Linked DNA regions of Pelodiscus sinensis. The protein of the gene in region 3 purifies or fractionates together with the protein of the main gene of each other region. This does not show direct contact. Links are inferred from orthologs where the notes say so. Each region holds a gene or a part of one and is shown on either strand. Other genes may lie near its edges.

Evidence for each region.
Region 1: the proteins of DHX15 (region 3) and SF3A2 purify together in Homo sapiens (affinity purification with mass spectrometry; 4 studies listed by BioGRID and IntAct, with this or other methods). This does not show direct contact. The link is inferred for Pelodiscus sinensis from reciprocal best matches to the Homo sapiens genes DHX15 and SF3A2.
Region 2: the proteins of DHX15 (region 3) and SF3B6 fractionate together in Homo sapiens (co-fractionation; 3 studies listed by BioGRID and IntAct, with this or other methods). This does not show direct contact. The link is inferred for Pelodiscus sinensis from reciprocal best matches to the Homo sapiens genes DHX15 and SF3B6.
Region 4: the proteins of DHX15 (region 3) and TFIP11 purify together in Homo sapiens (co-immunoprecipitation; 4 studies listed by BioGRID and IntAct, with this or other methods). This does not show direct contact. The link is inferred for Pelodiscus sinensis from reciprocal best matches to the Homo sapiens genes DHX15 and TFIP11.

Annotation. Positions count from the first base shown.
Region 1 is NC_134729.1:27,235,444-27,243,012, reverse strand, and holds the start of SF3A2 (splicing factor 3A subunit 2), read left to right. Parts: upstream 1-4,506; 5' UTR 4,507-4,663; intron 4,664-7,569. Other genes in the region: PLEKHJ1 (pleckstrin homology domain-containing family J member 1), read right to left, coding at 330-396, 2,394-2,461, 4,322-4,415. UniProt on the Homo sapiens protein: Component of the 17S U2 SnRNP complex of the spliceosome, a large ribonucleoprotein complex that removes introns from transcribed pre-mRNAs.
Region 2 is NC_134713.1:14,462,412-14,470,585, forward strand, and holds the start of SF3B6 (splicing factor 3B subunit 6), read left to right. Parts: upstream 1-4,866; 5' UTR 4,867-4,997; coding exon 4,998-5,027; intron 5,028-8,167; coding exon 8,168-8,174. Other genes in the region: PFN4 (profilin-4), read left to right, coding at 1,839-1,867.
Region 3 is NC_134715.1:102,246,415-102,253,670, forward strand, and holds the start of DHX15 (ATP-dependent RNA helicase DHX15), read left to right. Parts: upstream 1-4,101; 5' UTR 4,102-4,305; coding exon 4,306-4,376; intron 4,377-7,256.
Region 4 is NC_134725.1:39,273,461-39,281,212, forward strand, and holds the start of TFIP11 (tuftelin-interacting protein 11), read right to left. Parts: upstream 3,263-7,752; 5' UTR 2,930-3,262; coding exon 2,598-2,929; intron 1,888-2,597; coding exon 1,734-1,887; intron 1,067-1,733; coding exon 910-1,066; intron 153-909; coding exon 25-152; intron 1-24. UniProt on the Homo sapiens protein: Involved in pre-mRNA splicing, specifically in spliceosome disassembly during late-stage splicing events. Intron turnover seems to proceed through reactions in two lariat-intron associated complexes termed Intron Large (IL) and Intron Small (IS).

The DNA.
Region 1 (7,569 bases), on a different chromosome or scaffold from region 3:
TTCCCGTGCTGGGGGGCTGGTTTTCATACCTACATGACGAGACCAACCCTTCAGCAGCACAATCATTACGCCAGGAGGCGTCAATGATGCAGCACAGGGAGGGAAGAGGGTGGCTATTGATTTTGTAGCATCACTTCTTACAACACCCAAGAATTTTTCTTATGCGTCTCCCTTTTCCCATACTGCCCCGCCCCACGTGAGACAGGACACTCCACACAGTATGGTGCAGGATCTGACTCTAGAAACATTCCCCTTGCCCTTCTGCTACTTGACTGAAAAGGGAAACCGAGAGGAGGATACACCCATGAGAATCTTCTCCCACAACTCACTGATCGAAAAGACATTCTCCTCTTCTTTGGTGACTCTGCAGTGCTCCAACAGCAAAGCTCCAATTGGCTAGAAAGAAACCCACAGAGAAGGGTTAAGACACCCCTCCCCTTGTTCAGCCAGTTCTACACATGTGAGACATTGTGGCGGGAAAGGGAACACGGGGACTGACGTGGGGGCCGCAGTGAGTGACTCGTGAAAGAGAGAGACAACAGTGCCAAGAGGCTAGAGCAGAAACGACATTCCCTAAGCTATTTGAGTTCTTGTGCACTATCTTGCTAGTCACAGCTCTTTCACTGGTTCCCATGTATTGTTTGCTACAGTGGGTCTTTCACGGCAGCTCAAGAAGACAAAAATATTTTTAATGATAGGAAGATCCTGATAAGCCACAAACTACCAGGGGACGGACTTTAGGGCAGACGTCATAACCTGGCGAGAACTGAGAGGGTTGAAAACAGAGCGGTTTTTAGGTAGCCAATTTCTTTGTCTCTGCTGTCATACTTCACTGTACAAATATTTTGTGTTGATTAGTATTTACACAGTGCTTTGGACATCTGTATTTGCTCAGTACAACTCTGGAGAGTTAATAAATAGCTCAGTGATCTGCACAAAAAGAGGCAAAGGTGGTAAAAGTTCTCTAGAATCTAGTCTGCACATCAAGTTTGGCTGGAAGGCACAGCACAAACAGAAATCCAAACTTAGGTCTGGAAAAGAACATGCTTGAAGCTTTGCAGAAGTCTAATGAAATCTGTCCCTGCATTCGGTTTTTTTAAAACAGTTCATTTTAAACAAACAAATTTCACCTGCAGAATTTGCGAGTCATTTATGGGTGCACTGAGCTAAGGCATGAAAACCAGAGAAAGGGTTCTTTTCTTTGTCCGAAATGAACTGCAAGAGACAAACAAATAGAATAGAGACCACAGACTTTTTTTAAGAACAACTCAGTGTTAAGAGGTGTTATTTGACTAAGTATCCCGTCAGCACATACTATTCTAAGCTTCCAAACTATTTTTGGACCACTTACTGCTAAACACAAAGGGAAATATTTTATAGTCTCTAACTGCCAGGAAAATTAGCCAAAACAGCCAAACTCGTGTAAGCAGGAGTGGAGAGAAATCTGCTACTGGGAATGGTCTCTAGTCTCATGCGGTCAAAGCTCTAACATGATTTCATAATCACCCCAAAGAGACTGTGAAGTGTGGCATCTTCTTGGCCAGATCCTATGATCATGACTGTCAGAGGAGACAAGGAGGAGAGAAGAAATATTCTGCAAAGGGAGTGCAAGGATCCTTAGGGTCACATGTATTTCTGATCACTACAAACACCACCGAAAGCACCTTCTCTTCAAGTCTGTTAAATGGCGTAGCCACAGCAGTACCATGCCATGCTCATCCTGCATCTTCTGTCCAATCACAGTGCAAGTGAGTTTTATTGTTAAGGATGAGAAACAAAGGCCAAGACAGATCAAAAGTCTTTTCTGGAACCAGTGGGCTCCAGCTCGCATTCCTCTGCTACAACAACCAGACAATACGCTTGCATACTTATAGGTCCAAGTAAGGAATATTGATAAAATACAGCGATTACAATGCTTTGGGGGTTTTTTTTTACACTGCCAGATCTTGCTCAAAAGCAATGATACAGTTATTATTTACTGAGATTTAGCTAGGGCCTTAGTCTAAATTTAAAATCAATCTCACTAGTTTCACATAAATGAATTGCAGCCATGCGTGTAAGTGTGGCAATGATTAGGTTTCAGAGATCACCCCTAGACTGATAGCCAGGGCTGGGCAGGACAGCAGTTGCTTCTCAGCGTCGCCAAGCAGAGGCTTCATTGTGTTCCTCAAACACCACTAGCTAAACAGTGCAGTGTGACTACTTCACCGGTAAGTGTTTCAGGGCATGGACCATCTACGATTCTGTGATAGTACAGAGCTTAGCACAACGGCAGTCTGCTCTTGGTTGGTTTTTAGGCCCTTTGGTATAGAACCTGCCTTATTAATATGTTTTTCTACAACAGCTCTAACAAGTTCATAAAGCCAGTTTGCAGAAGCAAGTTATTTTTATACCTCTCCTTCATCTATGCGGAAGTAGAAGAGAAAGTTGACAACTAGCTTCACTAGGCGTTTCTTCAGCACTGCAAAGAAGAGAGACAGCATTCAGAAGCGGAGGTCTGTGGCAGTGTTCCCTGTTAGCTGAGTGCTTTGGAGTGATTCATACTCCGCCCAGCTGCTTAGCAGAGCATCCAGAGCTGTCAGCTTGGCTCTATCTACACTGGCGCGTTCTTATGCAAAAACTCTTCCAGAAGAGAGCGTCTACACTGGCATGTGCTTTTGCACAAGAGCATCCATGCCAGTGTAGATGCTCTCTTCCGCACGAAAGCTCTGAGAGCCATTTTAACTATAGGGCTTTCTTGCCCAGGAAATTCATGTTGCCTGTCTACACTGGCCTCTTCTGGAAGAGCTCTTGCGCAAGAGGGCTTATTCCTGAGCAGGAGCGTCAGAGTTCTGGCGCAAGCAGCCCTGATTTTATACATTAGAACATCAGTTTATTTGCGTAAGAACACGTGACCACTGTAGATAGGCAGCAAGTTTTTACGCAAGATCGTGCCTGTGTAGCCACAGCCCTTGTGTCTCGGCCTGGTAGTGCACATTGGTACATGCTTTGCTGCATACAAAATTTATTTTGCTTAAGGATAGAAAATATTAGAGGGAACATTCAGCTGTAGGATGGAAAACTGGACCTGTCGCACAAAGGAAGGTGCAGGCACCTTTCATTCTTACTGGTTCATAGCACTATGATTCTAGGCTGAACAGCAATTTGATGACCTCTCAAGCAACTCAATTCTATCCTAGGTGTGCCAGCCTTGGCTAAGCTTTCACTGATGACCTATAAAACTTTAACCACACATGCTTCTTGTAGCACCTCCTGGCTGGTACGATCCCAATGCAAATTCACAGGTATCCACATCCCTGAATATGGCTGCCGCTATCCATGTCTTGTTTTTGTGGATAGAAAGCTGCTTCAAACCCTGCAAGGTGGCAGCTCTCTGCGGCCGCAGCTGTGGTTGCAGATCTCCCACCATCTTTTTGCCAATACAGATACCAATTTTATATCTGCGTAGGGGTCTACCAGTGCATTGTACATGCCATCCCCCACCACAGGAAGGCAGCCACTTTGCGGACAAAGGGTGGTAGCTCAGTGCCATACACCACCTCACCAGCGCTGGGGAGGAGAATGCAGGAGTGGAGCTACCGCCTCTTTGAGAAAGTGCCAACGTGGTCCCTGCTCATCCCACAGGGAAGGGGACAGGGCAGGGAGCTCAACAGAGGCAGGACAAAGAGCCAGATTGAAGTTGGGGGGGGGGGGGGAATGGGGAAGGTGTGGGAGTAGCTGGCTCCTGAGTGGAAGAAGCTGAGCCTCATGCCCCACAATAGAACCCTCCCCCGGCCCTCCTGAGTGCCTGTACACCCCACCCCCACTCTATCCCCATACACCCTGCCCCACCCTAGCTCCTCCCACATATGCCCCGCCCCTGCCCCACCCCCACTCTATCCCCATACACCCTGCCCCACCCTAGCTCCTCCCACATATGCCCCACCCTAGCTCCTCCCACATATGCCCCGCCCCTGCCCCACCCTAGCTCCTCCCACATATGCCCCGCCCCTGCCCCACCCCCTCTCTATCCCCATACGCCCCGCCCCCGATCCACCCTAGCTCCTCCCACATATGCCCCGCCCCTCCCCCACCCCCACTCTATCCCCATACGCCCCGCCCCCGACCCACCCTAGCTCCTCCCACATATGCCCCGCCCCTCCCCCACCCCATACACCCGACCCACCCCGGCCCCATTCTATCCCCATACATCCTGCCCCCCCCACACGCTCCGACCCCTCCCCTCTCCAGTCCCACAAATACGCCCCGCCCCCTCCCCTCACACACCCCGCCTCCAGCCCCGCCCCCTGCCCTCATACGCCCCGCCCCCGCCGCCCCTCACCGCTGCCCTTCTTGGGCACGCGCATGAGAATCTCCGCCGCCTTCTCGGCCGGCTGCCGGGCCAGGGCCAGCAGCTCGCGCTCGTTGTAGCGCATGGCGAGGCCCCGCCCCCGCGCGCCCCTACAGCCGCCGCATCCCGCCGCGCGCGAGCCGCCAACCGCCGCTCCCCGCCCCCAACGCGGAAGCGCCCGGCCCGGAAGCCTTTCGTCGCGCGTGACCCTCCCATCCGGCGAACCGGAAATGCTTGGCCGCGCGGAAGCCGGAAGCGCCTCCTCCGCCCTGAGAGAGAGTTGCGCGTGCGCAGTCGCGGGCCGGCCTGAGGGGAGCCGCGAGCGCTGGTGAGGTGCGTGGCCGGGGGTGCCTTAGGCCTTGCTGGGTCGGAGTGGGGCTCCAGGCCTTGCTGGGCCGGAGGGGGGGTTGGAGTGGGGAGGAGGGCTCCAGGCCTTGCTGGGCCGGGGGCAGTTGGACTGGGGGGGGGGGCTCCAGGCCTTGCTGGGCCGGGGGGGGGGGGGGGGCTCCAGGCCTTGCTGGGCTCAGGTGGCGGGGTCAGGGGGGCTCTGAGGTTTCTTGCGGGGCGGGGATTATTCTGAGGGGCCGACGAGCCTGCAGTGCTGTGACAGCAGAGCCCAGTCCTGTGTTGGGGCTTAAGGACAGTAGAGTGTTAGTGCAAAGCTTGTTCCCTCATTGAACTGGAGAGGTGCCTGGGGTTTGGCAGAGTTTGGTTGTTCCGCAAGCAGGGCTCCGCAGGTGTCTGTTTTGGGACCGATTCTGTTACATGCCTTCGTCAACGATTTAGATATTGGCATAGCCAGGACGCTTATTATGTTTGCAGATGATACCAAGCTGGGAGGGGTTTCAGCTGCTTTGGAGGACAGGGTCATAACTGAAAATGATCTGGACGAACTAGAGAAATGGTCTGAGGAAAACGGGATGAAGTTGAATTAGGACAAATGCAAAGTGCTCCATTAGGAAGGAACAATCAGTTTCATACATGCAGAATGGGAAGCAACTGTTTAAGGATTAGTACTGCAGAAAGGAATCTAAGGGTCATAGTGGACAACAAGTTAAACATGAGTCAAAGTGTGACACTTGCAAAAAAAAACAAAAACAAACAAACATGAACAGGAGTGTTGAGAGCAAGACACAAGAATCATTCTTCCACTCTACTCTGCGCTGATTAGGCCTCAACTGGAGTATTGTGTCCAGTTCTGGGCACCGCATTTCAAGAAAGATGTGGAGAAATTGGAGAAGGTCCGGAGAAGAGCAAGAAAAATGATTAAAGGTCTAGAACATACAAGCTACGAGGGAAGATTGAAAGAATTAGGCTTGTTTAGTTTGGAAAAGGGAAGACTGAGAGGGGACATGATAGCAGTTTTCAGGTATCTAAAAGGGTGTTACAAGGAGGAGGAAGAAAAATTGTTCTCCTTGGCCTCTGAGGATAGGACAAGAAGCAATGGGCTTAAACTGCAGCAAGGGCGGTTTAGGTTGGACATAAGGAAAAACTTTCTACCTGTCAGGCTGGTTAAACACTGGAATAAATTGCCTGGGGAGGTTGTGGAATCTCCATCTCTGAAGATATTTAAGAGCAGGTTAGACAAACACCTGTTAGGGATGATCTAGATAGTGATTGGTCCTGCACTGAGGGCAGGAGACTGGACTTGATGAAGTCTTTTGAAGTCTCTTCCAGTTCTAGGATTCTATATGAGGTCACGTTAGCGTCTGACTTTCAGAGAGAATCAGCATCCCTTCCCCACGCCCACAGCAGCCTCTGCCCCCAGTCCAGCCTCTGTCTTGAAAATGCCACTCAGGACTTGTGACTGTTCTCCGAAGCATGAGGTAGCACCTGATGCAGCTTCCAGACATGGCTTCCGGGAACAGATCTGAGCATCCCACGTAGAGGCAGTGCCATGTTTTGAAAATCCTAGATAGCTCTGTGCTTTTAACATGTCTGTGGCCACTTACACAGCTCGAAAATAAGCATCTTCATTGGTGCAATGTGAACAGTAAACTGCTATTAGTTATGACTGTTACGTTATAGTGCAGTTGTTCCCTGAGGCCCCTCTCACAACCAGTGCTTTGGCCCTTCAAGCAGCACCTCTGTACAGACACTTCTGAAGACGTGGTTTCTGCCCAACTTGCTTATAGTTGATGTCCGGTATTTTTCTGTTTATTATGATTATTAATTAATTCTTATATCATTTGTTGTTTTTTGTATAAAATATTTTACGAGGCAGTTCAAGATACAGAACTTACAGCAAATAATTGGTGACTTGTATTGGGTAAATGAAAGGTTAACCAGTAAGCATCACTGGGGTGAAGTGTAGCATCTTACTTTTTCCAGGTGGATCACCCGTCTGCAGCGGACCCAGGGAGTGCCACAGGCAAGGGCTGTGTTAGCCCAGCCAGAGAAGCCCCTGCCTGCATTGGGGTGCTGTTCCAGCCCGCTGCACTCCCTTTATGTGCTTATCCAGTTAAACATAATGTTTAACTGGTTAACCAATTAAATGGGATTTTACATCCCTAATTTATAATTGAATTTCAAATGGCGTTACCTGTCCAACTTCTACAACATAGATCTGGACCATAGACGTGCCCACTAATTGACTGTTAACTTTCAAATATTGTTACCTCAATTGTGAGTGTATTAAATATCCCAGGCAAAAATGCATAATCTTGTAATAGAGAAAAATATGTGAAAGTAGCCAGGAAAATGAAATCACCTGTGAAACTGCCAAAGGCCGTGGTCAAACCATTGTGTTCGGTACGGTAGTGCTGTTTCTGTGAAAGTGCTGAATGTGATCCTGTATCCCTGCCTCTGCATAGTAACCAGTGTGCTTCTTGTGAGACTCGGTCTATTGCCATGAGAGATAGGATGCTGGCTACAGAAGAAATTAGGGCACAAAACTTGGGGGGTGGGTCAGGTGAGAGATGCCCAGTTAGCATATATTTGGAAATTTGGTAGCAGGAGAATTGATTACTACCTTATTCAAAATCTGCTCTGGAATCTATACTTTGAAGATGACAGAAGAGAAAGTGACTCTGTTGAATTTCAACACTTAACTGCTTCCATTAGGCCATCTCTACAATCAGTTTGCTAATGAGTGACATAGAGCAACCTTTAAATCAGCAAAAACTACGAGGACTCCTGTGGTACCTTAAAGATGCCTCATGGTTTTTGCTAAACAGACTAACATGGCTACCCTTCTGAAACTTGAAAACAGTGGCTCTCAACCTTCCAGACTATTGTAT
Region 2 (8,174 bases), on a different chromosome or scaffold from region 3:
TGTAGTGTAGACATACCACTAAACATGTCTTATTTTGATGTAGCTATTTCGGAATAGGCTTTATTCCTCGTAGAATGAGGTTTACAGATTTTGGAATAAGCCATCTGTTATTTCAAAATTATTTCGAAATAGCAGAATGGCTGTGTGGAATTTTGAAATAACGCTAGATATCTCGAAATAACGGTGCAGTGTAGATGTACCCTATGTCATCTTAACCCAGAGTTAGTCTAGATGACACAGCGTTACATACAGAAGCCCTATCTCCACTAACTCTCCGACCACTGCTACCTCAGATAGAAGGGCAGAGATGGGAGATTTCTCCAAAAATGCCAGTTTATACAATCTTTGGAGCCTGCTCCTGTAAACATTTGCATACATGAGTAAATTTCTCACAAGCAGTCACATTGGCTTTAATGGGACTAGTGACCTGAGTGAAGTCACATGTCTAAGGCCTAGTCAACACTAGAAAATTAGGTCAATAAAACTTCATTCAACCCTAATTAAGCCAAACTAAGTCTCTGTAGACAGTGTTATGTTGACAGGAGAATTCTTCTATCAGTCTAGCTACTGTTTCTCCAGAATATGGATTACTAATGCCAATGGGAGACTCCCTCCCAGAATCCCATCAGCATAGGTAACGTCTACACTGAAACACTACAGTGGCTCAGCTATGATGCTGTAATATTTTAATGAAGCCAAGCCCACAGAGTATGCTTGTTTTGCAATCATAGCTGTGATTGCAGCTGGAGTAGATATATCAAGTGGCAACAATGTGTGCTTCAGGATGGGCTGTACAAACTTGCCCAGAACCATGGATAACTACTCGCAGACTTCTGTGCTGAAACCTGAATTGCTACAGCTTCACTTCTAGCTAAATTAAAGCTAGTACATCCAGGTGTGTCCCCTCAAGCTATAGTCACATCTGAGATTGCAGTGTAGACTTAGCTTGTGTTTGCTAGGTCAGATTCTTAGGCTATGTCTACACAGCAACATTATTTCAAAATAACTAACATTATTTCGAAATAACATAGTCTGCGTCTACACAGCTAGAAGTTATTTCAATATAATGTCAAAATACTGTCAAGCTGGAGGACTTCTTACTCCAACTCCTGTAACCCTCATTTTATAAGGAGTAAGAGAAGTCAGAGGAAGAATGCTCTATTTTGAAATAAGTGCTTATAGACAGTACCAGAACTTGAAATAAGCTATTTTGAAATAAGCTATGCAATTGATGTCACTCATTTTGTGTATCTTATTTCAAATTAAACCCTGCTGTGTAGACACACCCTTAGGGATTTGGCGGCCGAGGGTGGGGATTGGCCTGCCCTTTTGTTATTATGTTTAATCTTTTCCTCCAGAGAAAACAAAGTAGCATTATGTAATTCCAGGAGAGATTTCTGCATATGATTATCTTTAAAGTTTTTGCAGTTCGCTGATCTGAAGGAGCAGTATTTAGGGTTCTTAAGGCCACAAACTTATATAATAAAGATTCTGTTTATTTCAAATGACACACTGAAGCTATATTTGGAGTTGCTAATACTCAATAACTATAGGTATTCCAATATTTTATGTATTCAGATGCAAATGCTAATATGTGAGCTAGATTATGATGCCTTTCATTCAATTATAGTACATTCCAGTATTGTATTCTGGAAAGAACGAACTCTGAAAAGGATGTGGAGGTTATAGTAAACAAGTAACTTAACATCAGCTCCCAGTGTCATGCTGGGGCAAAAAAGGGCTAATGTGATTCTTGTGGCAATTGTATGTCTTTAAACTGGAGCATTTCCATTATTGTAAATATTTTAAAAGAAAATGTTTTGTTTTTCCCCCCATAGCGGAATATTTCAGAGATAAGGAAAACTGAATCTGAAAACAACTTAAAATTGATCAAGCTTATGAAGACTGGTGCGTTAGAAGACCAGTTTGTAATGAAGTACATCTAAGCAAGCAAAACAATATCCATTATTCTGCAATATTCTAAGCTTTTTTGATTTCTCTAAAAGCTTTACTGTTGCCTTTCATTAAATATTCCATTTCTTCTAATGCCTGCTCAGGGTATTCAGTGCCCCTGTACATGTAAAAATGAAATAATTTATACCTGCAAGACAGAGGGAATGGTACCTTGGCACCCCTGAGTCTTTTGGCTTCTTCCCTTCTTTGACCATCTGTACTCTGAAACTGTTACCTCTTAGATAGTCCCGGAGGGAGGGACTTCCAACACTCCAGTCATCTGAAGAAGTGGGTTGTGCCCATGAAAGGTCATGATACTATGTACATGTTTTGTTAATCTTTAAGTTGCTACTAGACTATTTGTTTGTTTGTTTTAATTTTTCCTGTTACAGACTAACTTGGCTACCCCTCTGAAGCTTTAGGATGCATAAGGATCTTGTGCAAAATGGGGGGGTTTGTGCCAAAAAAAACCCCATCCACACTTGCTTCTTTTTGTGCAAAAAGCCCTTGTGCAAAAAGAAAGGGCAGAAAATATGCTAATGAGATTGTGACTTATGCTAATGAGTCCCTCATTAGCACATTTTCTGCCGGAAGAACTCACAGTGAAGACGTAGCCATCAAGTAAGCTCCCTTTATCAATGAAAGAGAGATAAGCACAGTGGTTGTTCTCTCCAGGTAACAATTATATACACTGGGCCAGATAGTAAACAAAAGTTGTTTATTAAGTATAAAGAGTAGGATTTAAATGGTGCAAGTGAAAACAGCCAGATCAAAGTAAGGTACTACATTTAAATGAAAAGATATAGCTAGTTCTAATTCACCAAGAAACTTATTGCACGTACACTCTTACCCTAAAGAGATGCTCTTATTTTAGGCATAATCTTCAAGTCAATGACAAATTCTTTTTCTCATACTTGGGTCCCCAGCCCTTTTTTGGGGAGTGCCAGGCAGTAGACAAAAGGGAATTGCTTCCCATTTCTTAAATTGACTTTTCCTCAGGGTATCCACTCTTCCCATGGAAAAAATCCAGGTTCAGAATGGATTTCCAGTACCAGGTGTCAAGGTTACAGGTCTTTCTAGTCCAACCGCCTTTGCACTTACAGGACAAGCCAGGCTTTTTACAAACCATTGAGTTGATCACTAGTCATTAGGCTTCCAGGGCACTAGAAACAGCTCTCATTAGCACATATAAAACTATAAATAGACTCACACTTCATATTTCTAAGTTCACATACAAGAATGATGCGTGTACCAATTTAGGATATACAGATCCAGCAGAGTATAACATTAAAATTGATAGATTAAATGATGTATTTTGTGGAGAGTAATGGCAGCAAGCGGCAGCACTGAGAAGAAAATCCTGGAGGGGAGGGAAGTGTATAAATCAAGAGGAGTTTAGTTTCCTTGATGTCAATCAACAACAGCAGCTAGGACAAAACTTCTAACCCAGTTCAGAAAGGGTTGAATGTTGGGAAGTTAGTTAGAAGTGAACTGAAGTAAGATACACATTTCTCTAGTCTCAGACTGGCATGTATGGTTCTTTATGCTGTTTTGAACAGTGCTGTGGTAAGAACTGATGGGTTATCATACTTACACAAAACCTAAGATGGATTAAACAAAAGACAGAACTATGTAGCACTTTAAAGACTAACAAGATGGTTTATTAGGTGATGAGCTTTCGTGGGCCAAACCCACTTCCTCAGATCAATATGTGGAAGAAAATCGGCACAACCATATATACCAAAGTGATACAATCAAAAAAATGAACGCATGTGAAATTGACAAATCAAATTTTAGAATAGAGTGAGGGTGAGGGGGGAAGGTTAGTTTCTGTGAGGTAATGACATAAGGGTGATAATTGGGGAAGCTATCTTTGTAATGGGTGAGATAATTAGAGTCTTTGTTTAAACCCATACATAAAGTGTCAACTTTAAGCATGAAAGACAATTCTGAAGCTTCTCATTGAAGTCTGGAGTTAAAGTCTCTTTGAAGCACTATGCATGTTTTAAGGTTATTAAAGGAATGATCAGTCTGGCTGAAATGGCAAGCAACAGCTTTCTCTCTGTGAGAGAGTCTTATGTCTGTTTTGTGTGCATTGATTCTTTGGCGAAGTGTCTGAGCCGTCTGTCCAATGTACATAGCAGACAGACACTTTAGGCACATGATGGCATAAATTATATTTCTGAATGAACAGGAATATGTGTTCTTGATCTTGTAACTGGCATGGTTAGGCATGATCTTGTAACTGGCATGCCCTAAGTGCAATGTGCGATCAACGCCCCTGGCTGCACGGCCGTCAATGGAGTGATATCATCGGGCACCCCGTTGAAGGGGGCGCCCTAGGTGACGGCCGAGTCGGCCTATAATCACGGGTCACCCCTGGGGAGGAACCATGGGGTGGAATGGCACGAGTGGGTCAGGTGTTGGGGGGGAGGAGCACTGGAGGAGGGTACGATGGGGAGGGGGGCACTAGTGAGCTGGGTAGGAGCAGTGAGGGGAAGCCAGGAGGAGTGGGCCGCACGTCTCCAGGCTAGGGCGCTGTTGCTAAGGGCGCTTGCAGGCCGAGCCAGCACAGGCGGTGCCGAGCGAACTAGCAGCGCTTAGCGCGGCTGCAGAGGGAGCACGCGGCTCCCCCCTCGCGTGGCCTGGCTTTGCGCGGGGTCACTTCCGTAACGCCCGGAGGAAAAAACTGCCCGGGCCGCATCGGCCTCCCTGCGCGTGGACGCGGGAAACACGCGCGGACCCCGCCCCCGCAGGTTGCCCCGCCCCCGTTCTAACTAACGGCACCGCCACTGGGGGAGCGGCCTCTGCAGGAGGCAGTTATCATCGCCCCGCAAACGGCAAAGTCACATGACTCCCCTCGTCACTTCCCGCCCCCAACTGTCAGGTTTGTTTCCTCTCATCCGGTTAGCACTCGTCACTTCCTGCGCGCGGGCTGAGCCCGCGGTGCAGGCTGGGATAGCATCCGGGCCTGCCCCCCCTGTTGGAGACGGACGCGTCCGTTGTTTCCCGGCTAGGCGAAGGCCCCCGACCCGCCCGGCACCATGGCGATGCAAGCGGCTAAGCGCGCCAACGTGAGTGGGGGGCGGGGGGGGAAGTGTCGCTGACCTGTCCGGCGCCCAGACCGTCTCCCTCCGCGGTTCGGCCCCGCGCGGATCAGCTCCGACCGGGGGCGGCGGAGGGGCCGGGTTCGTGGCGCCGCGGCGGGGCGATTTGTTCCGGGCGTGACTCGCCCGTGCAGCGCCTCGTGCAGCCTAACCCGGGGCCGCCACAGCACTTCCGCCGCCTGCGGGGCCCTTCGACCTAGTCCGACTTGCCCGTCACGGCCCTTCGGGTCTCCCCCAGTTACCCTCCTATCGCGACACTGCGGGGGAGAGCACAGCACTAGCTAGCGGAGAGGTGCTGCTCGGGCACAGAGGCAGAGACTTTAAATGACCCCTCGAAAGCCCCAAGTCAGAGCCTCCAGACTGGACATTTTGCCAGAGAAATTTTGGAGCAGGTCAGTGGAAATGAGCAAAGGGTCGAAAAAGATCCCAAATTGCGCTCGTTGACTTGAGCACCATCTGTTTAGCCTTAATAAAGGCAAAGTGAAGGGGTGATTTAAGCCACAGAGTGTAAGCACCCCGAAGGGGAACAAATATTTGATACTAGGCTCTTTAGTGTAACAAGCAAAGGGAAACCAACTATACAACCATTGGCTCTTAAACTTGCCAAATTTGGGGCTGTGCTGCCCTAGAAGCGTTATAGTGGTGCAGCTGCACCAAAGCAGCATTTTTAGTGAATAGGCTCTGTGCGACTAGGAGAGAGCTTTCCCATTGACATCATTACCCCACCTTCTTGAAAAGTAAGTAGCTGTGTTGGTGGGAGGGCACTTCTTGCCAACAGTGCTGTGTTGGTGTAATTGGTCTCTCTTGGGGGTGGCTTTTTCACTCCCCTGAACAACATAAAAATATATCAACACAAGCAGTAGTGTAGACCTGCCCTCAGACTTGAATGCTGGAATAGTGTAGCACAGATTGTGATGGCTTCTCCATGGGTACATCTACCCTGCAGGGCTTAATTTGAAATAAGCTATGCAAATTGAGCAATTTATTTCAAAATAGGGAGCATCTACACAGCACTTATTTCAAAATAGAGCACACTTCCTCCAATTTCCCTTATTCCTCTTACAAGGAGGGTTACTGGAGTTGGAGTAAGAAGTCCTCCTCCAGCTTTACAGTATTTTGACACTATTTTGAAATTACTGCCTACTGTGTAGATGCAGACTAAGTTATTTTGGAATAGAGCTAGTTATTTCAAAATAGTGTTGCAGTGTAGACGTACCCCATCAGTAGCCATTTTAAAATTAAGACTGGATAGTTTCCTAGAAGGTATGCTCTAGTTCAGATAGGACTTAATGGGGACATTCTATGAGCTGTGTTTTGTGGGAGGTCAGATTAGATTATCATAGTAGTCCCTTGTGACTCCAGTCTCTGTTAATCTACGTATACTTCTAGACCATAGGGTCTCAAAATGTAGTCTGTGATCAGAGGCACCAAATTCCCCAGTTTCCATGGTGGGCTCAATCCCCACTGTGCCCCAATCCTCCTCCCCCACTCCACCTCTTCCTGCAAGTCCCCAGCTCTTCCTGCCCCATCCCTCCTCTGAGTGCACCCCTCCTGCTCCTCACCCCCCTCCCCAGCACCTCATACACACCACTGAACAGATTTTGGAGGATGGGAAGGGGAGGAACACCCACTTTTTTCTTGAGTGGGTGATCTGGGGGCTGGGATTGGTGCCTATGTCTGTAGTCCACAAAGAGCTGGCTGGTCACCATGTGCTACTCTCCTGGTTTCCAGCTATTAAATTACATTAAAATAGAACTACAAGTACAGGCAGTCCCCGGGTTACGTACAAGATAGGGACTATAGGTTTGTTCTTAAGTTGAATCTGAATGTAAGTCGGAACTGGCGTCCAGATTCAGCCGCTGCTGAAACTGATCAGTTTCAACAGTGGCTGAATCTGGACGCCAGTTCTGACTTACATACAGATTCAACTTAAGAACCCCAGGCATCCCCAAGTCAGCCGCTGCTGAAACTGACCAGCAGCTGATTCCAGGAAGCCCCGGGCAGGGGCTTCCTGTAGTCAGCCACTGGTCAGTTTCAGCAGCGGCTGACTTGGGGACGCCTGGGGCAGAGCAGCTGGGGTGCTGCTGGGTTGGTCCAGTAGCGCCGCCGCGTGACCAACCCAGCAGCACCCAAGCTGCTCTGCCCCAGGTGTCCTGATTCAGCCACTGCTGAAACTGACCAGCAGTGTCTGAATCAGGACGCCTGGGGCAGAGCAGCTGGGGTGCTGCTGGGTTGGTCCCGTAGTGCCCAGAGCGGCGCTACGGGACCAACCGGCAGCGCCCCAGCTGCTGTACCACAGGCGTCCGTAGCAAAGCCGCGGAGCACGGGGGCAGCGGGACAGCCCAGATGCGCCGTGGCTGTCCTGCTGCCCTCGGGCTCCGCGGCTTTGCTCTGCTTTGCTCCCCGTCCCCCTGGTCTGCAGACCAGGGGGATGGGGAGCAAAGTGGCAGAACACGCGGGCAGCGGTCAGCCCAGACGCATCTGGGCTGTCCGCTGCCCGCGTGCTCCGGGGCTTTGCTCTGTTTTGCTCCCCGTCCCCCTGGTCTGCGTCTGCAGACCAGGGGGATGGGGAGCAAAGTGGCAGAACACGCGGGCAGCGGTCAGCCCAGACGCATCTGGGCTGTCCGCCGCCCGCGTGCTCCGCGGCTGTGCTCTGCTTTGCTCCCCGTCCCCCTGCCAGGGGGAGCGGGAGCAAAGCAGAGCAAAGCGGCGGAAGACGCGGGCGGCGGGCAGCCCAGACGCGTCTGGGCTGCCCGCTGCCCGCGTCTTCCGCCGCTTTGCTCCCCGTCCCCCTGGTCTGCAGACCAGGGGGACAGGGAGCAAAGCAGAGTAAAGCCCCAGAGCACGCGGGCAGTGGACAGCCCAGACGCATCTGGGCTGCCCGCGTGTTCCGCCGCTTTGCTTCCTCTCCCTGGTCGGATCCGCGTAACTCGGGGACTGCCTGTACTTCATATTCTTTCCTAATTTTTTTCCATGCAATCAGAGTGCTCTAGTTGTTACTTGAATGTTGTGTTACAAAAGGATCTGTGAGACAGAAGGTGAATGGAACTGGTATGTATTAGTTCTGGAAGTGAGCATTCTAAATGTAGCTGTGGTCTCTATTTTAGATTCGGC
Region 3 (7,256 bases):
TACCTTTTTGGTATGCTAATAATTAGTTTTGAAATAATGCTTTAAGTAAATAGAAATTAATAACAGAAAATCCAGTTAATGGCATATACAGGCATAATAGCAGGAAGTAGGGGTGGGGTGGGGTGCTGCAGCATCCCCAGGTTTTGTGCCTGATGACCCTGTTGCCACCCCCACACCACTGCTGCCCAGGGTCCTGTCCACCAGGTCCACTGCTGTCCAGAAGCTCCACTGCCACCCTCAAGACCACCTCAACTGCTGTTCCCAGGGGTTCCACTGCCAGCCCTGCATGCAGAGTGGTGAGTGGCGCAGAAAGGAGTAAGAGGAGGGGGAACTCAGCACCTCTACTCCAAAAACTGTATCAGTGTCACTGCCTAAGGGTGCTGTAATATAGTGGGAGATTTCATTTCTAAAAGACATAGGGATCCATTGTTTATGATGTAATAATTCACTTCCTGTGATGTAATGGTAAATTCAACTTTCTCAAGGGAATGACAGGAAGTAGCTCAAGTCATCAATAGAACAGCTAGAAAAACCCCATAAGAATATATGGAAAACCGTAGAAATGTATAAGGATGATGCAAATGGGTGACAAGATTGCATCATTATCAGGTGATGCAATCAAGGCACACTATTGCATCACTTCCTGTGGGGCTGGCTCAGCAAAATCTCATAGAGCAGAACAGTGCTGTACACCTGTCAGAAGATGATTACATAAAAGAAACCAACTAAGAAGCAACATCAGAACCCTGCAAAGAAAGAGTTGCTTGCAAAAAACAACTACTACAAAAGCAGTAGCAGCAATTTGCACCGGACAATGGCTGCTTCTACCACCCAGTCAGCAGAAGGCCCTCATAGTATCCACCAGTGCAGCAACCAAGCAGGCTTCTGTATCTGCTACCAGATAGGCTGATTTACCAGAGGAGCAGACAGGCACCCAATAAAGAGACAACTGCAGAGATTACAGCAGTCTGCAGCCATTGGACAATGCTCTCAAAGTTTGTGACAGAACAGAAGGACCTTTAAATTGTCTCAGAAGGAATCTTAAAAATCCTCTGTAAGATAAAAGCGTTGTCCATTTAACATCCTAAAGCATATGGCCTTCGTTTGTAAATAAAGTGACTGTGGTTTGAGTAAGATCTTTTCCTGTCCATATAATAAATTCCAGGCCAGCACTGACTTGACACTTAGTTTTAATGTTGAATATTTAATTCATATATTGTTACATTGTTATAAGGTAGAGAGCATTAAGTGAAGGTTTATATTGTTGTAAGTTATAGGAGTGAAAGTTTCAGAGGGGCAGCTGAGTTAGTCTTTAACAGGAAATCTTAAAAAACAATGACAAGTCTAGTAGCATCTTAAAGACCAAAAAAGATGACACCTGAAGAAGTGGGTTGTGCCCACAAAAACTCATGATACCATCTACATGTTTCGTTAGAATTGAAAGTGTTATTGTAGCGTGTCTTTATTTGCTGTGCGGCTTCATTCACTTTTTAACTGTAACCCTATTATCTATATCTCTACTCTTATGCTGTAACCACTCATTTCTAAATAAATATTATTCTTGTTTATGATATTCTTCATCAGAATGCTGTATCCATATCCTTGCAAGGGACTGGCTTTTCCTGGAAATTCTTTTAGGGCAGACCACAACCATAATTACTGGAATAGATAAATTAAGGATAAAAGGTTTTTAATTAAAAGCAGTGGTTTTAGGCAAGCTCATTGACTTAATATAATTGGTTTCAAATCTTTTGATAACAGTATGATACTGTGTTCCATTTTGTGCATATGTACAACAAAACGTCTGAGCTCAGCAGTAGAGGTTGTTCATAACTCTGAACAAAACATGATGGTTATTCTTTCAAAAGTTCACAACTGGACTTTGACTTAATACACTTTGAAATTTTACTATGCACAAGAAAAATGCTGCTTTCCCTTTTTTGAATAGCTTACATTTAATACAGTACTGTACTGTATTTGCATTGTGTGTGTGTTTGTCTGATTGCATCCTTCTTGTTCCAAATGAGGTGTGTTATTGACTAGTCAATTTGTAACTCTGGTGTTCCTAACTCCGTGGTTCTGTATTGCATCTCCCAGAGTTGTGGCAAGATGCTTCTCATTGGTCAGTTTTGTCCCATTGTTACTTTGTGCTCCCCCATCTGATTGCTCTTGCTACCTGTTGTTTTTCACCTTATATTTAGACATTGATCCTGGAGACACTAATGAATGTACTCCGCTTTACCATTCTGAGTAGTCCATTTGGATTACTTGCAGATGCACAGGTTTGCAGAATCAAGGAATTAGATAGTAAACTGTTTGGACTGGGACTGCATATTTATTATTTGTTTATTTAGTGCATAGCACAATGGGGTTGGGATATTTAAGTGCTACCACAATGTAAATAAATAATGATAATGCTAAAATGGCCTTTACCAGGTCAAAATTTGGAATAGAGCCATGCCCATATAAGGCTACATTACCATGATTCACGAAATAGATATCCCAATGCTGTGTATAAGTTTAAAGTATTGCCTCAATACTCATTCCTGCCTAGCCACTACAAAGCTCAAAATCCAGTCTCTCCAAATTAAAGCCTAACAGATCTTTGGGACTGCCAAATAAAAAGATGTCTATTATTTGTATTACAGTAGAACCTGGACTTCTGCCCAACTGAGATATGGGTCTGGCTGTTTTACATACTGTAGAAACTGAGAATGTAAAATCCTATTTAATTGGTTAACCGGTTAAATGTGATGTTTAACAGGTTAACTGATTAAAGGAGGAAAGGTTGGGAGGCTGAGACTGGGCTGGAGCAGCCCCTCCCCATCATTGCAGGCTTCAGCCCAGCCAGAGTAGCCCCTGCCTGCAATGCACCCGGGCCCCACTGTGCACAGGAGCTGCTTTGGGCAGCCAGAGCAGCCCTTGTCTTCAAGCGTGCCCTATGGGGCTGTAGCAGCCACCCGCCTGAGGTGAGCGGAGCTTCTTCAGCCCCCACGCATTAACCGGAACCAATAAATCTTTCATATCCCTCATAGATACATGTAGAAGACAATTCCTGTCCTGAAGAACTTATGCTCCAAGGACTTGTCTACTGGAAAAAGTTGTACCAGTACAGTTATGTTGGTATAACTTCCTGTTTGGACATTCTTATTCTGAAAATAAGAGGGCTTTTTGTTTTTGTTTAGCTTAAACAAAAACACGTTATGAGTGTCTGCATGGGAAGTTATAGCTGTATAGTAATAGTGGTTTAAAGTCAAACCATAACTTATGTAGATATTACTTGTTAAAGTCTTAAATAGATGAGACAAGACAACTAATCACAAGAAAGTGGCAGAACCAGGAACTGAATTCTGATCTCACAAGTTTGTCAGTTCCCTTCTGAAACCACCATCCTTCTGGAAGGATTTGTCTTTGTTTTAGGGGGCCTTATAAGATATATTTGTGTTCCTAACTTTTGGGATATGTCTTACTGATACTTTACACTGGGGTAGGTTCTGATGTCTGTCCTGCTCTGACATCAGTTGAAACACTGTGTGTGCACAAACGTACAGTTGCGCTGAGCTAGTGTTGCTGAAGGGCAGGTAGTTATGGCCCCAATCCTACAAAGATTTAAAGTTCCATCATGTGTACAGTTATGATGGACACAGGTAACAAGTCCATTGCGTTAGGTCTTTATGGAGCCAGGCTAAGTCAGCCATTACAGCAAGTCAAAAAGCCATGTCACCAAAGCAATGACACTGAAACAACACAGTCTACTGGAAGGCGCTAAAAGCATGGGGCAACCGAGATGCGTCCCAGGCCTAGTTGTGCTCTTCTAAGCAATCTGCCTGCACCTGGACAGGCTATAGGTGGGCGAGCCATAGTCTCAATCTGGTTCCAACTCAGAGCACCACCTCTCTGGGGTGAGGGGAACTGCTCCTGCTACGGCCCAGGGCAGTGCCCGGGCTGTCCCATCTACAGCACTAGCTCTTTCCGCCTCCGCCCACACCCCCTTTTCCCGCTGGCACCGCCTCACGTTGTGACTCCGGCCCTCTCCCTGGGTGGCAATAGAATTCTAGGGGGCGATCCGCTGGCCGGACCGAGGCGCGCGGGGGAAGGTTCCCAGCCGGGCTCGGCGTGGCTGCACCGCCTCCCCCTCTTCGAAGTGGCTCGCTCAGTGTCTCGCGCGGATCGAGGCTTCCTTCCGGCCGCCATTTTAGTTGCTGTTCTTGGCCTCGCGGCGCTGCCGCCGCTGCTGCTCGAGGAGCGGAGAGCGCGGAGCCGTAGCACCCATCCGCGCCCGGAGTCCCCGCCGCCGCCGGCACCATGTCCAAGCGCCACCGCCTAGACCTGGGGGACGACTACACCTCCAGCAAGAAGCGCGCTACGGCTGACGGGTGAGGGGCGCCGGGGCTAGGGCCCGGGCCTGGCCGCGCGGCCTGGGGGCGGGGGCTGGTCTCTCTCCCTCTTGGAGCGGTTCCTGCCTAATCCGCTTTGTGCCTCGGCGGCAGACTCGCTCCCTGCAGTGCTGGGCCTGGCCGAGGCGCGGGGGGGGGACCGGACCGGCGGGGCTCGGAGCCGGCCGGGCGCGGCACGCAGGCCCCATGGCGAAAGCGCTAGGCAGGCGCGTCTCCTCGTCGCGCTTGTGGGGGGAGGGGCGGCCCAAGAGCCCGGCGGCTTCCTACAGTCTTGGGAGGCTCCGTCCGTCCCGTTTAAAAGCCGGGAGTCCCGGTGCGGGGCGGGGGACGTGGTGGAGGCAGCGGGTACCGGGCGAGCTGCGTGAGAGTGGCAGGGAACCGGCCCCTGTGCCTTTCCGCGCAGGAATCGGAAATCTTGCCGGGGTAGGCTCCGATTAGCAGCCGAGATGTGCCGTGTGTCCGTGCAGTTGGGAACCCCATCGGTTACCCGACTCCTCGGGTCACTGAGCTCCCGCCGCGGCCCCGCATCCCGGGCGAGAATAGTCCCGTGAACCCGACTCCCAGTGCAGCGCTGAGCAGGGACCAGTATTTCTAGTGTTTTTTTTAAAATTCTGACAAGGCCTGAACCAGATCATAGTGTTCGGCCCTACGCCGACCGTCTTCCTTCAGTAAATTAGAGTGATCTCCGCAACTTCTGACTACAGCTTTTCAAGTTGCTGTTTACAGATAACGGTTACGATTGTTGAAGTTGGCGGGGGTGGGGTGAAGGGGGACGGCAAAGGTATTCTTTTGTGTGTGTTCTCTGTCCGCCTCTACATGCATTTTATGCCTAGTGAGTTTCATTGTTCCCCGTGTTATCAATCACTCCTTTGTGTGAGTTTTTCTAGAGGTGGACAGAAAGAGTGGGAAAGCATTTATAAACATAATCTTAAAATCACAAACGCAGGAAGCAATGGTGGGCGACCTAGGGGTGAATTTAATTACTTCTAAATTTATTTTTGTTTTTAACTTGCACTGAAAATTGATGGGGGAGGGGGGCTATGGATATTGAACAACAAAAAATTGAGGGTAATTAAATTAGTTTACCTTTGGGTTGAAGCATTTACATTCTGAAATCAAAAATATAATTCTAAAGATTTTTCTTGTTGGAGTGTGGACAACAGTTAAAGTTAAATGGAATGATTGAAAATGACCACATATTCATGGGAATTGCTGTGCTAGTTCAAATCATTGGTCTGTCTAATCCAGTATTCCATCTGTGAAAGTTAATAATGAAAGCTTCAGAGACAGAGGCAAGAAATGTCAAAGTAAACGTTTACAGAATAGTGCCTTTTCCTTTAGGGAAAATTTCATCCTAGTCGATGTCCATTGGTGACTGGTACATGCTTTAAAGCATGAGGGCTCCTGGTCTTTATTTACGAAAAAAATTACCCTATCTCATGCTGCTGTATGTGGTCTCATTAATAAGTCTGATCCTAGGAGTAGGCTTATTGAAAGCGTTTCATTGTCAAGGGATGTTCTTCTTTCAAACTCTCCCTCCAATCAAATATCTATTTTTAAGTCCTAGCCACTTCTGCAGCATCCCAATGGACTTCCCTTCCCCACAACTGAATACATTGCTTCTAACCCTGAAAACAAATGTCTTTTGAGTTGTAACTAAGTAACTAGGTAGTGTGAAGACATAAGAAGACATCAGTTTCTGTAAAATGTAAGCTTTCATTTAAAATTAGGTTTTAAGCTTTTTTTATATTATGCTCTTATATAAGTACACAGGCTTCAGTCACATAACTCTCATTATGATGGTGTTGGTCAAAAGGATAGCATGAAACAGGTGGTGGATAAAAGAGTTATAATCCAAGGCCCTGAGGCATCTTCTAAAAGCTCATTTTAGGTTTAGTGCATGAATTAAGATAAAATGGAACTAATTTTTGAAACAAACAACCAGAGGCACTAGAGAGGGAGAGTGAGGGTAACGATGACACAAAGTATTGTAGATTTTAGATCTCTTCTAAAAGACAAATTAAACAACATATTAATGGTGTCAGAGATTCTTGCTGGTCACCTCGGGAATCATACAATTAATGGAGGATTAAGATATAGTAAATTAGAGCTTTTGTGGGCCTTTTCTCATAAGAACAAGGATTATTGGCCTTTGCCTGGTTGCACAGCTACTTTTAAAAACAATCTTCATCCTAGAATGTGCAAAAAATAAAGCTACTACATGCTAACTTAAGCTGGTTATAAAAAAAATACAGTGGTACAGGTAGACACTCCTGTACCTAGTCATCTATTTTGTTAAAGGGAGGAATGGCCAGCAGCAGTCTGAGATGCATATAAGATGCTGTGGGGGAAAGTAATTGACCACAAACTCTCTTCAGGAACTCTGCATATTCTTGCAATTCTCCTGAATAATATGAGGCAGCCTGGTACACTGTATGAAGAGTTTGTGTTGCCCCCCAAATTTAAAGGGAGAATAGAAGTGTTCCTGAAGATATGAGTTGGCCTTTCACTTTTAGGTGAGAATATTAGGATTATTTTTGTTGCACCATTTGAAATTTGCAAATTGAAATTCAAAGTAATATGAAGTAGAGGGAATCTTCAGCTTGCAAGTCAAAAAGTCACTAATTATTCTTGGCTTTTTACATATGTAAGTATAACAATTGTTGTTGTAGTTGCTATGTCTGACCACTGAACTGTTTTGAGGCAATTTTATTTGTATCAACAGCATATTGTGGAAATTCCAGAGACGAAGATGAGGGCACTTCTAGTTGAAACAAAGATTTGTAAAAGGCACAGTTTCTATTTAAAGTGTTTTAATTAAATACCTTATTTATAGCTTTTCTGATAAATTAATAAATT
Region 4 (7,752 bases), on a different chromosome or scaffold from region 3:
AAAAAGACACACCAAGAGTCATACCTCTTCCGCTTCTTCCTCAGAGTCAACAACAGGGAAATCCTGCAAGGACTGAGTGGTTCGTTCAGAGCCATATGCTCCCAGGGCTCCTTTGCCTTTCCTTTGCTTGGCCTCAATGGGATTGATGATACCTAGGGAATTTTAGAATAGTTAGTGAAGGGGACTCTAAACATTTGACTAAGAAAAGCTGTGGATAGGTTTCTGGAGGAAAAAGAGAGATTTCTGAGTAGCACAGATCATCCAGTCTGGCATTCTGTCTTCAGCAGTGATAGGATTTTGTACAGTTACACATTTTTATATGTGGCCCTAATATATTCAGGTACTTTTAAAAATCCTGTTATAGCATGTTCCTCTGACCTCCGACTCCAATGAATTCTATAGCTCAGCAATACACTGCACAAAATAGCATTTCCTTTGGTTACAAGTTGACTGTCTTTTAATCATAGAATGCTAAAATTGGAATGGATCTCAAGAGGTTATAAAATCCAGTCCCCTGCCCTCATGACAGGACCAAACACCATCTAAATTGTCCCTGACAGATGCCTATTTATCCTACTCTTAAATACCTTTGGTGATGGAGATTCCACAACCTCCGTAAGAAATTTAATCCAGTATTTAACCACCCTGACAGTGAGTTAATTTAATCTTCCTCCTTCTGTCTCCTCATACTAAATAATCAGAGACTGACATGGGTAGTAGACTTCACAATTTCATTCTAATTACTGCTGTAATTATTTAAAACTAATATAATTGGATTTAATCTTGAAGATCTGAATTGGCTGAAGAAGAGGTGGGAAAACAAAACCAAGTTATTCAGTGTCTCAAGGTTGCAGTTTCCTTAAAGAATCCCCATCTTGGACCCACACTCTTGGGGAAAACACACAGTACCTTGAGCATTCTTTCCAAGCCCTCTACCAGGAACATAACCCATTTTCTGAAGAAGCTTCTGCCCTATTCCTTTGGTGTGTCTCTCCCAGCTGCCAAAGTCCATGAAAGATTTGGTCCCACCTACAAATCCTTTCTGGCTGGGTTTGAAATTGCCACCCTGTTCAGAGAAAAGAAAAAACAACAGGTAAGTGATATAATCACCAAGCTCCTGGCTGCCTCAAGAGGGGATCTCCTCTGAGGAGCCCCACCAGCCTGCAGTCTGCGCTGCTCTGTCAGAGCACCCCCAAGCCACTGCTAGAGTTGGGGATTTGTAGCCCTGCTCCTATTATGGTCTGATCTATAACACACTATCATGAGCAGATACAAGTTGGTTCCTGATATTTTGCTTTTCAACAGTTGAAAAATGGGTTTTGATTCTTAATCCATTTAATTGGCAATTTGCTCATGCCAGCCACATTCAGTACTGTAAAAAGAAATAATTACAAAAATATTTATCATTGATGGGTGGAAGCAAAACTGGGTCATTAATTTACTTCAACTTCATTCAACTCAAAATGATTATCAATGAAGAGAAGAGGCTTAAGAGGCCTGGGGAAAAGATGAGCTCCCGAGAACCTAACACAATCCATGAAAACACATAAAGAAAAGCCAAGGGATATTCTTTCCCCCCACGGCAAACCAGTGTCACAAACAGTTCTGTGATCTTACTCAGCCACTGTCCTCCCTTCTCAGCTGATGTGTTACTAAAGCAGTATCTAGACCATACTGTGGTTGGCACTCCATAAATAATTGTTATAAGTTTCAAACTTTCATGAGTAACTCACTGTTTTTAACTTCTTTGGTACAAACTCTTTAGGGAGTTCTTCTTGCTTAATGGGCTTCTCATCTTCATCTGAATCTTCTTCTATCACTTCCTCAGCTGCAGCTTTCCTTAGCCCCGCACTGATGAAGTTAACGGGGGCGGAATAGTCACGAGAGCTACACAAAAAAGGGATTTCAGAGTCATGCTATTGTTCCACTGTTCCATTGAATTTGAACTTGAAATGCATACACTCAGACACCTTAATGCAATCATTACTGGTCCCAAAATAAACGCAATGTTAAGAAATAACATTTAAAAGCTGTTAAATTCAAACTTTTGTATTTCAGTCATAGAAAGTGTTGGTTTTGCATGTGCATGCAAGACTCTCTAATGAGTTGTAACTTAGCACAATGTTGATCTTCTTCATGAACTTGGCAATAAGGAAATGAATCTCGGAACCAAACTATACATGAAAAATTCAATCTATTTGATAACATGCTGAACTAAATAGTAACCCCTCACTGCTCCCACAGATACCTTTCAAAGCCATTACAATCTCAAATTGGCCACAGTAGCACAAAGTGTTTCCAAGAGACTAAGCCTTTTGAAGCTAGCACTATACATCAAGTGACTGAGTTAGTGTCAGAAAAACTTACATAATCAAATATTCTATAGAATGTATAAAGGCATCTCCCCAGTAGTTCTTTGCAAATGGACAGAGAAAAGAAAACCTCCAGAAAGTGAAAAATCCAATAGTGCTACATAAAGGAACTGATATCTCCTTTGGACTATTATTTTAGCTTATCGGCTATGCTAACCACTAACAGAAGATTCTTGCTGTTCACAGTACTGCCAGAGTTTGCAAGACACTGGTAACTGCCTGTACCGTTTGCCTCCAAAGCTGGGCCTCTCATCATCCGAGTCATGCTCAGCCCACACGCCATAGGTGGCCTCCTCCTTTGTCTGCCAGTGGCGCTGGCGGTTGGGGTTGAACTCATTCTGCAGGTCCCAGTCTGTGATTTCAAAGTTCTCCATCTCCACGTCGTCGTCGTCATCTTTGCCATAGAGATGGGACATTGACATGATGGCCTGGGAGAGTTGGAGCAAGCAGCTGGTCAGGGGGTGGATCCAGAGAGGGCTGGCAACAAAAGTAGGGGGCATAGACAGTGCAAGAGGGTGACATGGGATGGGTGTGAAGGTAAGGAGAGCAGGAGGCATGGCTAGTGAGGTGGTGGGTGACACAAGGACCAAGGTGTGAAGGGGATGACATGGCACAGCCAGTAGCACACAGGAGCAAGTGAGACAAAGCACAGGCAGCCATGACACACCAGGGCAAGGCAGCAAAATGGGGGGAGGGAGAGAGAGAGGGAGAGGTCTCAGCTGGCATAAGGCAGTGACAGGAAGAATGGTGGGGGGGATGAATCAGTGAGTGCAAGCCCAAAACAGGGTGAAGAGTACTTAGCTGGTGACCTGGAGGGAGGAAGCTTGGACAAAGCAAGGAGGTGACACTGGGGTGGAGAAATCATACGGTACAAGGCAGTGACATGGAGAAAGGGGGGGGGGGTTCGGCCGGCGCGAGGGGCTGACACGAGGGGGGGTTCGGCCGGCGTGAGGCGCTGACACGGGGGGGGCGCGAGGCGCTGACACGGGGGGGCGGGGTTCGGCCGCCGCGAGGTGCTGACACGGGGGGGGGGGATGTTGGGCCGGCGCGAGGCGGTGACACGGGGGGGGGGGTTGGGCCGGCGCGAGGCGCTGACACGGGGGGGGGGGGGTTCGGCCGGCGCGAGGCGGTGACACGGGGGGGGGGGGGGTTCGGCCGGCGCGAGGCGGTGACACGGGGGGGGGGGGTTCGGCCGGCGCGAGGCGGTGACACGGGGGGGGGGTTCGGCCGGCGCGAGGCGGTGACACGGGGGGGGGTTGGGCCGGCGCGAGGCGGTGACACGGGGGGGGGTTCGGCCGGCGCGAGGCGGTGACACGGGGGGGGAGGTTAGGCCGGCGCGAGGCGGTGACACGGGGGGGGGGTTTGGCCGGCGTGAGGCGGTGACACGGGGGGTGGGGGTTTGGCCGGCGCGAGGCGCTGACACGGGGGGGGGGGGGTTTGGCCGGCGCGAGGCGCTGACACGGGGGGGGGGGGTTTGGCCGGCGCGAGGCGCTGACACGGGGGGGGTTTGGCCGGCGCGAGGCGCTGACACGGGGGGGGTTTGGCCGGCGCGAGGCGCTGACACGGGGGGGGGGGTTTGGCCGGCGCGAGGCGCTGACACGGGGGGGGGGGTTGGGCCGGCGCGAGGCGGTGACACGGGGGGGGGTTGGGCCGGCGCGAGGCGGTGACACGGGGGGGGGTTGGGCCGGCGCGAGGCGGTGACACGGGGGGGGGGTTAGGACGGCGCGAGGCGCTGACACGGGGGGGGGGTTGGGCCGGCGCGAGGCGCTGACACGGGGGGGTTGGGCCGGCGCGAGGCGGTGACACGGGGGGGGGTTCGGCCGGCGCGAGGCGGTGACACGGGGGGGGGGTTCGGCCGGCGCGAGGCACTGACACGGGGGGGGGGTTCGGCCGGCGCGAGGCGGTGACACGGGGGGGGGGTTCGGCCGGCGCGAGGCGGTGACACGGGGGGGGGGTTCGGCCGGCGCGAGGCGGTGACACGGGGGGGGGGGGTTCGGCCGGCGCGAGGCGGGTGACACCGGGGGGGGGGGTTCGGCCGGCGCGAGGCGGTGACACGGGGGGGGGGGTTCGGCCGGCGCGAGGCGGTGACACGGGGGGGGGGGTTCGGCCGGCGCGAGGCGGTGACACGGGGGGGGGTTCGGCCGGCGCGAGGCAGTGATACGGGGGGGGGGTTCGGCCGGCGCGAGGCAGTGACACGGGGGGGGGTTCGGCCGGCGCGAGGCGGTGACACGGGGGGGGTTTGGCCGGCGCGAGGCAGTGACACGGGGGGGGGTTTGGCCGGCGCGAGGCGGTGACACGGGGGGGGGGTTGGGCCGGCGCGAGGCGCTGACACGGGGGGGGGGGGTTCGGCCGGCGCGAGGCGCTGACACGGGGGGGGGGGTTCGGCCGGCGCGAGGCGCTGACACGGGGGGGGGGTTTCGGCCGGCGCGAGGCGCTGACACGGGGGGGGGGTTCGGCCGGCGCGAGGCGGTGACACGGGGGGGGGGTTCGGCCGGCGCGAGGCGGTGACACGGGGGGGGGGTTCGGCCGGCGCGAGGCGCTGACACGGGGGGGGGGAGTTCGGCCGGCGCGAGGCGCTCACACGGGGGGGGGGTTCGGCCGGCGCGAGGCGCTGACACGGGGGGGGGGGGTTCGGCCGGCGCGAGGCGCTGACACGGGGGGGGGTTCGGCCGGCGCGAGGCGCTGACACGGGGGGGGGGGGTTCGGCCGGCGCGAGGCGCTGACACGGGGGGGGGTTCGGCCGGCGCGAGGCGCTGACACGGGGGGGGGGTTCGGCCGGCGCGAGGCGCTGACACGGGGGGGGGGTTCGGCCGGCGCGAGGCGCTGACACGGGGGGGGGTTCGGCCGGCGCGAGGCGCTGACACGGGGGGGGGGGTTGGGCCGGCGCGAGGCGGTGACACGGGGGGGGGGGTTGGGCCGGCGCGAGGCGGTGACACGGGGGGGGGGGGGTTGGGCCGGCGCGAGGCGGGTGACACGGGGGGGGGTTGGGCCGGCGCGAGGCGGTGACACGGGGGGGGGTTAGGACGGCGCGAGGCGGTGTCACGGGGGGGGGTTGGGCCGGCGCGAGGCGGTGACACGGGGGGGGGGTTGGGCCGGCGCGAGGCGCTGACACGGGGGGGTTGGGCCGGCGCGAGGCGGTGACACGGGGGGGGGTTCGGCCGGCGCGAGGCGGTGACACGGGGGGGGGGTTCGGCCGGCGCGAGGCGGTGACACGGGGGGGGGGTTCGGCCGGCGCGAGGCGGTGATACGGTGGGGGGGGTTCGGCCGGCGCGAGGCGGTGACACGGGGGGGGGTTCGGCCGGCGCGAGGCGGTGACACGGGGGGGGTTCGGCCGGCGCGAGGCGGTGACACGGGGGGGGGGGTTCGGCCGGCGCGAGGCGGTGACACGGGGGAGGTTCGGCCGGCGCGAGGCGGTGACACGGGGGGGGGTTCGGCCGGCGCGAGGCAGTGATACGGGGGGGGGGTTCGGCCGGCGCGAGGCGGTGACACGGGGGGGGGGGTTCGGCCGGCGCGAGGCGGTGACACGGGGGGGGTTTGGCCGGCGCGAGGCGGTGACACGGGGGGGGGGGTTTGGCCGGCGCGAGGCGGTGACACGGGGGGGGGGGTTGGGCCGGCGCGAGGCGCTGACACGGGGGGGGGGTTGGGCCGGCGCGAGGCGCTGACACGGGGGGGGGTTCGGCCGGCGCGAGGCGCTGACACGGGGGGGGGGTTCGGCCGGCGCGAGGCGCTGACACGGGGGGGGGTTCGGCCGGCGCGAGGCGCTGACACGGGGGGGGGTTCGGCCGGCGCGAGGCGCTGACACGGGGGGGGGGTTGGGCCGGCGCGAGGCGGTGACACGGGGGGGGGGTTGGGCCGGCGCGAGGCGGTGACACGGGGGGGGGGTTGGGCCGGCGCGAGGCGGTGACACGGGGGGGGTTGGGCCGGCGCGAGGCGGTGACACGGGGGGGGGTTGGGCCGGCGCGAGGCGGTGTCACGGGGGGGGGTTGGGCCGGCGCGAGGCGGTGACACGGGGGGGGGGTTGGGCCGGCGCGAGGCGCTGACACGGGGGGGTTGGGCCGGCGCGAGGCGGTGACACGGGGGGGGGGTTCGGCCGGCGCGAGGCGGTGACACGGGGGGGGGGGGTTCGGCCGGCGCGAGGCGGTGACACGGGGGGGGGGTTCGGCCGGCGCGAGGCGGTGACACGGGGGGGGTTCGGCCGGCGCGAGGCGGTGACACGGGGGGGGGTTCGGCCGGCGCGAGGCGGTGACACGGGGGGGGGGTTCGGCCGGCGCGAGGCGGTGACACGGGGGGGGCTCGGCCGGCGCGAGGCGGTGATACGGGGGGGGGGTTGGGCCGGCGCGAGGCGGTGATACGGGGGGGGGGTTCGGCCGGCGCGAGGCAGTGACACGGGGGGGGGGTTGGGCCGGCGCGAGGCGCTGACACGGGGGGGGGGTTGGGCCGGCGCGAGGCGCTGACACGGGGGGGGGGTTCGGCCGGCGCGAGGCGCTGACACGGGGGGGGGGTTCGGCCGGCGCGAGGCGGTGACACGGGGGGGGGGGGTTCGGCCGGCGCGAGGCGGTGACACGGGGGGGGGGTTCGGCCGGCGCGAGGCGCTGACACGGGGGGGGGTTGGGCCGGCGCGAGGCGCTGACACGGGGGGGGGGTTCGGCCGGCGCGAGGCGCTGACACGGGGGGGGGGGTTCGGCCGGCGCGAGGCGGTGACACGGGGGGGGGGGTTCGGCCGGCGCGAGGCGGTGACACGGGGGGGGGGGTTCGGCCGGCGCGAGGCGCTGACACGGGGGGGGGGGGTTCGGCCGGCGCGAGGCGCTGACACGGGGGGGGGGAGTTCGGCCGGCGCGAGGCGCTGACACGGGGGGGGGGGTTCGGCCGGCGCGAGGCGCTGACACGGGGGGGGGGGGGTTCGGCCGGCGCGAGGCGCTGACACGGGGGGGGGGTTCGGCCGGCGCGAGGCGCTGACACGGGGGGGGGGTTTGGCCGGCGCGAGGCGCTTACACGGGGGGGGGTTCGGCCGGCGCGAGGCGCTGACACGGGGGGGGGGGGTTCGGCCGGCGCGAGGCGCTGACACGGGGGGGGGGGGTTCGGCCGGCGCGAGGCGCTGACACGGGGGGGGGGGGGTTCGGCCGGCGCGAGGCGCTTACACGGGGGGGGTTCGGCCGGCGCGAGGCGCTGACACGGGGGGGGGTTCGGCCGGCGCGAGGCGCTGACACGGGGGGGGGGTTGGGCCGGCGCGAGGCGGTGACACGGGGGGGGCGCGAGGCGCTGACACGGGGGGGGGGGTTCGGCCGGCGCGAGGCGCTGACACGGGGGGGGGAGTTCGGCCGGCGCGAGGCGCTGACACGGGGGGGGGGTTCGGCCGGCGCGAGGCGCTGACACGGGGGGG